2 linked regions of the Schizosaccharomyces pombe genome follow. The gene in region 1 interacts genetically with each later gene. Each region holds a gene or a part of one and is shown on either strand. Other genes may lie near its edges. The genes, in order: pof7 and SPOM_SPAC15E1.02C.

The links.
Region 2: mutations in pof7 (region 1) and SPOM_SPAC15E1.02C together harm fitness less than expected from each alone (positive genetic interaction), as found in Schizosaccharomyces pombe (one large-scale study listed by BioGRID).

What each region holds. Positions count from the first base shown.
Region 1 is NC_003421.2:2,370,883-2,375,328, forward strand, and holds pof7 (F-box protein Pof7), read right to left. Parts: upstream 2,456-4,446; 5' UTR 2,198-2,455; coding exon 1,112-2,197; 3' UTR 632-1,111; downstream 1-631. Other genes in the region: SPOM_SPCC70.10 (uncharacterized protein), read left to right, coding at 11-478; U3 associated protein Utp25, read right to left, coding at 3,238-4,446.
Region 2 is NC_003424.3:3,720,692-3,723,981, reverse strand, and holds SPOM_SPAC15E1.02C (uncharacterized protein), read left to right. Parts: upstream 1-2,145; 5' UTR 2,146-2,225; coding exon 2,226-2,672; 3' UTR 2,673-2,725; downstream 2,726-3,290. Other genes in the region: hal3 (thymidylate synthase), read right to left, coding at 1-149; rpl42 (60S ribosomal protein eL42), read right to left, coding at 963-983, 1,174-1,473; bud6 (actin-interacting protein 3), read right to left, coding at 3,019-3,290.

The sequences.
Region 1 (4,446 bases):
TAAATAGAATATGTTTTTCATTGTCGCTGCAGGTTTTGTCATCGCAGCTTTAATTGCGGCTATTGGAATGGCGATCAATAGATTTTTTGTTCGCCGTCGACAGGCAAGGGCTGGACAGACCAAACCAGCAACTACACGCCCCATGGCAGAAGCTCGCGCTAGGCCTGGCGCAACAGCAGTTCCTCGCCGTTCACCTACATCTCCCCAGTCTGCATACGTTCCTGCAACTGTATATACATCTCCAATTGGCTCACCTCGTCGTGGCTCTGTTCGGTATACACATGTAATGGCACACCCGAATACAACTACTACCGTTTCTGAAAATTTGCCTGAAGAAGTCCCACCTCCATATAGTCCAGCTGCTACTGCAAGCAATACACCCCAAAATGAAGCAAGCCCTGCAGCAACCGAAGCTGTAAATCACGAACGACCAGCTTCACCACCACCAGTTTACAGACCTCCAGAGGAAATGGTTTAGCTTTGAATAGAAATGAGCGATTTTCTACAGTTTCGTTAATCCTTTCTCTTTTTCTCTTTACGAAACTAATTTACTTTAATTTTATTATCCAAAATAAATCCGTTTGTTAACTTTAAAACGGAATCTTCATGTTGAATTATTGCTCTCCGATATTTCTCCATGTTTTACTTTTGTCATTCAATGCTTCGATATGGCGATTTTTTATGTTGCCTTTAGTTTATTTATTTGTGGTAAAAAAGCAGGGATTTTTTACGAACATGATTACGAATGGTTTTATGGTTTTCTTTATGAATATTCGATCTGGACTTCAAGAAACTGATACGTTTAATATTCCATTTCGTGGGTTTTCCTCTTTTATTTTTTAAGTTTTGTGCATTCTATTTACTCTTTTCTCCTCAAGTATCACGCATGTTTCCTTGGACTTAGGATTGTTTATAACTTTGTACTTCCAAAAATTTGTTAAGCATCTGTTGTTCATTTGTAAATGTATGTTAATGATATATTTCCATGCGAAGAATAATGATGGCATTAATATTAATAAAAAATAATTTCTTTAAATCCTCTCACGATGCGACCTATAATAGATAATTAATCATTTCCGCGGTTTCTAAATTAGTATTCCAAAAAGTAAGACTAGCCACGTTTTAGTGACTCTGAGTCAGCAGTATAGCTATATACTCTGGAGAAAACATAGTCACGATTGTGAGTGAGTGGCATTTCGTTCGTGAATGAGGTATAATTATGGATGGAGTAGAAAGAAATCCACTTAAGCCTTATTCCACGAACTTGAAGTTTTTGAACGTATGTATAAGTTTGACTTGCGGGATACACAATTAGCATTTCTCCAGAAGGAGTCATTGACCAGGAGCCAGTGAGTGCTACGTTTCCATTACTAAACATAGGAGAACTCGACATAGGAGAAAAAAGACTGGTGTTTTGCACACTGAAGTTGCGAACAACATCATTTGGTTCATTACTGCTTTGATAAACGATACATGTTGAATTAGGATAAAGTCGTAAATACCGGTAGTATGTGATCAAATGTATGGGTTGGTTCCAGCTCGTGTCACTAGTTCCAGGTCGAAAGTATCGACAAACGGATATGTAGCATCCGTCAAAACGAGATCGAGGCTTTTTAAGGAACAAAGTCTTCCAGCTTTGCTGGTATTTTTCCACGAGTTCTTCCTCTATTGACTTAATAGACTGTTGCCATTCTTTTTGTTCACAACTGCAATAACAAAACGATCTATATAGAGAATCTGCTCGTAATGCCTTCGCAAAATGCTTACAAGTTAGTGCAATTGAAGAGAGATATCTTAAATCATGAAGGTCCCTAATGCAATTCTCTAGGATAACTAGCAAAACCTCGTCGGGAAGCTTCAGTATATTGGGAACGACCGACTCATTTACAGACTCATTTTCCGTTAACGTTGGAGATGGGACTGAGGAAACAGTGAGCATAGCTTCTGATGCATCTGAATTTAACATTTCCTCCTCTTCATTTCTTTTACACAGTTGCAAACGCTCCAAACGCCGATAGATAGATTCCACATCTTCATGGACTTTATGAGCTAATCGATATTTATTAAGAGATTCACCTAAATTTCCTTCTCTTTCAGATTTTATAGCATCTTTGTAATGTAAAAGTGCTTTTTTCAACAGTATATCCTTGTTCACTGTTTCAAGTTCAAGAGAAAGTTGATCCTCTACTGTACTCATCACTTATTTTATTTCTCAGACGAGCAATCGAAAGTAGATGTATAATTGAAAAAGAAAATATTTTCTTACTTATTTCTCTCAAAATAGAAAAAAAAAAAAAGAATTCAACACGAATATTAAGAGGTTAAGATAGTGCTGAACCTAACTAATGACTTTTATGTTTTTTACTTTTCATACAATTCCTAGCAAAGTATTAACAAGGATTTAAGGATTAAAAGCATCCTTTCACAAGACCTTACTTTGGTAACAATATGGTTTAGTTCATGGGTAGTTAGCCGTTGCGTTTAATATCAAGTTGTGGCGGTTTGATAACAAGAAGAAGAAGATTAAATTGAGTCAATCGTCGCTTCTTTACTGTTTAAAAAATGGACTAGATAAATATTGTAACATGTTTGAGATGCTATTTGGCTATGGGCATATTTGTAGGTGTCTTCGATTCTATCACTTCTAACAAGGCGTTAGGACTTGCGAAACCATTACATAAACTTAAAACTTGTTCAAATCAAAAGTTACTTGGCAATAAGCTAAGTGGATATTAGGATTTTAGCGATATAGAAAACATTTCGATTTGATGAATTATTGTAATAATTACCAGCTTCATGTAGCATTACTGCATTTATTTATGGTGAATATGATAGCGATTTTTATTGTTAATAAACGAGTAGATACATATCCCGCTTTGCTTTCGGATAATTCTCAGCATATCTTCGTCAAAAGCAATTGAGATTTAGATATGGTTTCGGGAACACAGTCGAAACCAAACTCATTGATAATGTACGATGCCTTCCAATCGCTATATGAATCTTGAAATAAGTATAAAAAAAATTATATATTGAAAACATTTAAAAAGCACTGTCAAGTTAAATCATTCAAGTAGCTATTTACTCATTCGCTCTCAATAAATAAAGCAAAGCGGAATGGTCCAAATAAAGTACATTTTAAGCTATTCTATTGTTTTAAAGTAGTAATTTTGTAGCTCTTTCATCCAAAAATCCAAATGACCCCTAATTCCTTTTTAAAAAAATTTTTTTCGTATTCTTTTAAAGAAATTCAAAAACTTCATGTTTACCATGACACATGTTTGATACACGCTGATATCCCACTATGCCTTCCAGGCAAATAGAATCAAACTTTGTATACATAATTCTACACTTTGCTGCATCACTGTCAAGGTTTCCTTCAGAGATGGTTCTCATCGGCATTCTAACAAGTTCAACATAAAACTGAGGATTCGTTGGGGGACCATACATCACAACAGCTTTTACACCCCTAAAGTCAAATCGACGGAAATGGTGAGCGCGCTCAGTATATAGCATTATATTGGTTCTACCTTGATAAAAAAGATTGCGGGCTCTAGTCATATCGGATACACTCGAATATTCTGATATGGCAGAATAGTTAATTCCCTCCTCATCCATGTAATTTCTCACACGAACAAAATCAAAATATGAAGGTATATAAACTAAAATACCACTCTGGGAATACTTCTTTAGTTGTACTAGTATAGAACCAGTAAAATAGGAAAAGCGGGCATCTGGAACTTTAATAATAGAATCGACAGAAATGCGAACAAAAGTTTGAGTCACTTTGTACCCCAAGCGGTTTAAAACACCGTGAAGAAGCGAGCGAAATTTAACCTTACCAGCAATATTTGACATGTAGTGAGAAAAGAAAGAATTTATATCTAGATTGTTATATTGAGAAAATAGTATAGTTTGGCGCATATATCTGGCTTGCTGATCAAGATACCAAGGACGAACACGACTGAAATCACAACCGTGAGCTTCTTTAGGCAAACCATTAAGTTCATCAAAAATGCATTCAATATGTTCCCAGTTTTGCATCACGAGAGCATGAGCTTGGTCAACCATTGCTATTTCAATCGAACTCAAATAATCGAGGTCTCGCTTTTTATCTCCCTTGTTACCAATAGCAAGACGAAGTCCCAAAGGACTAGCAACTATAATGTCAGAATTGTAAAACTGGGAAAATAGCTTGACAGTTTTTCTTGTAAATTTAACACCCAGTCGAAACATATCGTCGGTATTTCCGGAAAAAAGATAACGAAAATCTTCTGGCTTTTTTTCTGAAATGACTTCTTTTTCAATCGAGAATTCATTATCAAAACGCTTTCGATTTTCTACTTGATTAGTCCCAGAATATGAAATAAGTAAATTAATGAATTCAAAAGCACTATTCCTTGTGGGTAAAAGAATTAATACTTTAGGCCTGGTGTATCCCTGATCACG
Region 2 (3,290 bases), on another chromosome or scaffold:
ACGATTAATGTCAATTTTATCGCCGCAACCGAACCCGTTGCAGCGACCAAAATATGATATTTAGAATCCGTAAGTTGTCGCTCTTTCTCAAGGATCATGGGATTTTTTACAGCCCTGGTAGCAAACCTGGCATGCAAAGGTTGTGACATATTGGCCAACGAAACGAAAGTAATTGACGGGCCTTAATGTTGGTGAAGCTAGAGATTATAGATGCAGGGAGAAGGTTAGATATCGATTTATCTGGTACTGCAATTTAATGAAACTTTTATAAACTCATTGAAGCGCGTTATAATGGTCGTCCACAAAAACAAATTTAGCAATTGAACAAGCGAACCTTAGTTTTGCAAGGGAATTGTACACGTCGTACGCAGAAAAACAAAGAACGTACGTTGCTTTAGTACCAAAAAAAAGTAATTATTTATTATGCCTGCAGTGTGAAATCCAAGTGCCGTTATGCAAGGATGCACTACACTCTCACTATTAGCAATTAGTTACTTAATATATCCATAATTCGGCAAATGGCATAGTCTCCTAAACCTTAGAAGACCCGTAAGCATGGATAATTTAAAGAAAATTTTTTTGCAATACTTGAAAGCATATTTGATGCTTTAGTACTCTCGCTATTTTACGCTGTACTTGTTTGATTACTTTTATCTTAGTTAACATGCTGACAAATGTGATGGGTTATTTTCCGAAATCACAACACCTGTCTTCTACTCAAGCAGTAATACAAGTCTTGAAAAGCTCTGACTCAAACCGATGGAACTAGAAACACTCGAAAAAGATTGCTCCAATATTGAGAACAGACCTTAGCGTTAGCGAACTGCTAATTGATGACAACTCATCACTTTGTGTGCTACTCTATCGGAATCATGTCATTATTTATACAATACAAATGAAACACTACTTTGAATTGCTTTTAGGATCACCGTAAAAGAAGAAAATTGTATTTGCTAAAACACTTAGAATTGGATAGCAGCACCCTAAAATGATTGTTAGTAGATGAAATAAAGAAAATGATCGATAATAAGGATGAAACTCAACAAAAGACAATTCATAAAAGCGCTTTGCAAAATTTTTTTTCTGGATTTGAGAGGTATTCAACCACGGCAAAAACTCTTTTACAAATTCGTCTAAATCCAATCCACTCGTTATCAGCATTCTTCGACATACCTTAGTCTTCTTTTCACCACCAAGCTCGAAATGCTTGCAACGCTTCAAAACCAATTGATTCTTGTATTTGCAAGAGACGCATTCCAAACGAAGGACAACCTTCTTGGTAACCTTAGCCTTCTTGTGGAAAACGGGCTTAGTTTGACCACCAAAACCACTTTGCTTGCGGTCATAACGACGCTTACCCTGAGCAAGCTTGGAATCAGGTCCCTTCTTGTATTGGGTGACTCTGTGGACAGTGTGCTTGCGGCAGTTCTTACCAGGACAGTAAGTCTTACGGGTCTTGGGAATGTTCACCATTTTTTGATACTTTTATAAGTGATGGTTAGATGGTGGTGATTAGGAACTCGACAGCATAAAGTTTCTCTGCTAAACCCTTGTTGTACAAATGTGACTGTTTCTTATTCCTCTAGGTTAGGTTTACTTGCTGCTGTAATGTCGTTCAACGCACTGTTCGCAATAGTGTGAACAACCGATAGCTACCCTAAAAGTGTTTACTGCGTAAGATCAAGCTTGCAATATATCAAATGTGGGCCAGCAAACAAAATTTCTAAGCTACATTGTTTTAGTGCTGGAATTTCAATCCAACTTTGATTCTTCTGTGAGGGCTTTTTAATGTAAAACATGCGAAAATTATTGTAGTAAATTTCTATTTTTAATCACTAGTTGTTACCATCGCTGCACTCCAAATCTTATATTTATCGACTTCACTGATTTCTTTATGCAAGACTTGGCACAGCATCCGAACAGTATGAGATATTGCTCCACCAAAAGTTTAGGAAAATGATGTAGATATCACTATGTAAATAGCGAAATAGCGACTTAAAACAAGTCAAGTCAGGCTAAGCAGTATTTCCCAATTATCATACTTCATCGACACGTCAAAGTGACGCCCCAAATTAATCTGTACCTAAATCCATAATTGGACCTTGAGTATACTATATATTTAGTGGTAGCGCCCTTAAATCCTTTAATTACAAAACATTTATTTTACAAAATATTCACATTCATATTAATCTTGTTCTAACTCAAACTAAATATTAATACAAGAAATGCCATCCTACACTCACATGCCGTATGTACGCCCTAGTGCAATTCTCTTGGGGATTGCCTTCGACCATGCTGCTTCTTTCCTCGTTTATGGACCCCTAATGGGCGATATTTGGAAAAGGGCAATGAGCACTGCACCTCACGTCGAATATGACGCTGGAAGTAAAACCAAGAAGGTTGCTACAACTTATGTTAGCAATTTCCTTAGTACAGCAGTTCAGTCGTACTCGATCGCTGCATTGTTGCAACTTACAGGCACTGTGACACTCAAAGGTGCCTTTTTCGTGGGTCTTTATGTATTTGGTGCATCTGGATTGCCCGACGTAGTCGACTATATGTTCACAGAAAGCAGAGGTACCCCTTACATCCTTGTCAAAACTATATCTTCTCTAGTGAAATCAGTAGGCTTAAGTGTTGCCTTGATCGGTTACGGCGTACGTCGTATTTAAGATTCCGATGGTTCAATATCTGATTTTTAAAACGACAAGTTAATCAAATTTTCTTTAATATCTAAGATTTCTTTTCTGTGTTTATCTCATATTTGGTTAGACTGTAAGTGAAAATAGTATCCCAATAGTGGTATTGGACAACATCGAAGCTTCCTTTGCTTGTTATAACTGTACATATTAAGGTATGTTGTAACTCTATTCAGCAAATCCTTGATTCACAAGATTTGCATCAGTCCTAGTGTAATACAGGGTAATTTCTCTCGTAACAATTAAAGTTAAAAAAAGTAAAAAAAAAATACACAAACTGGCATACAATCATTGCCAAATCGAATAAAACTTATGCACATTAAGTTAGGCTTGTCTCTTCAACATCTTCGGCATCTTCGTAAGCGTCATAGTCATCAGTGGATATCGTATCGTGTCTTACATGATGAGTCACTTTACTCATCTGTACATTGTTATCGTACTTAAGATCAGTATTCTCAAACACTGTATCACTAGAACTTTCGACTCTGTTATCGGAGTATTTAGAAGGGGTTTGTTCATCATCTGTTTCATGAGCTGTACTACGGACGATCGGCGTCTCATATATATTAAAATCAGGTTGCTTCAATGGCT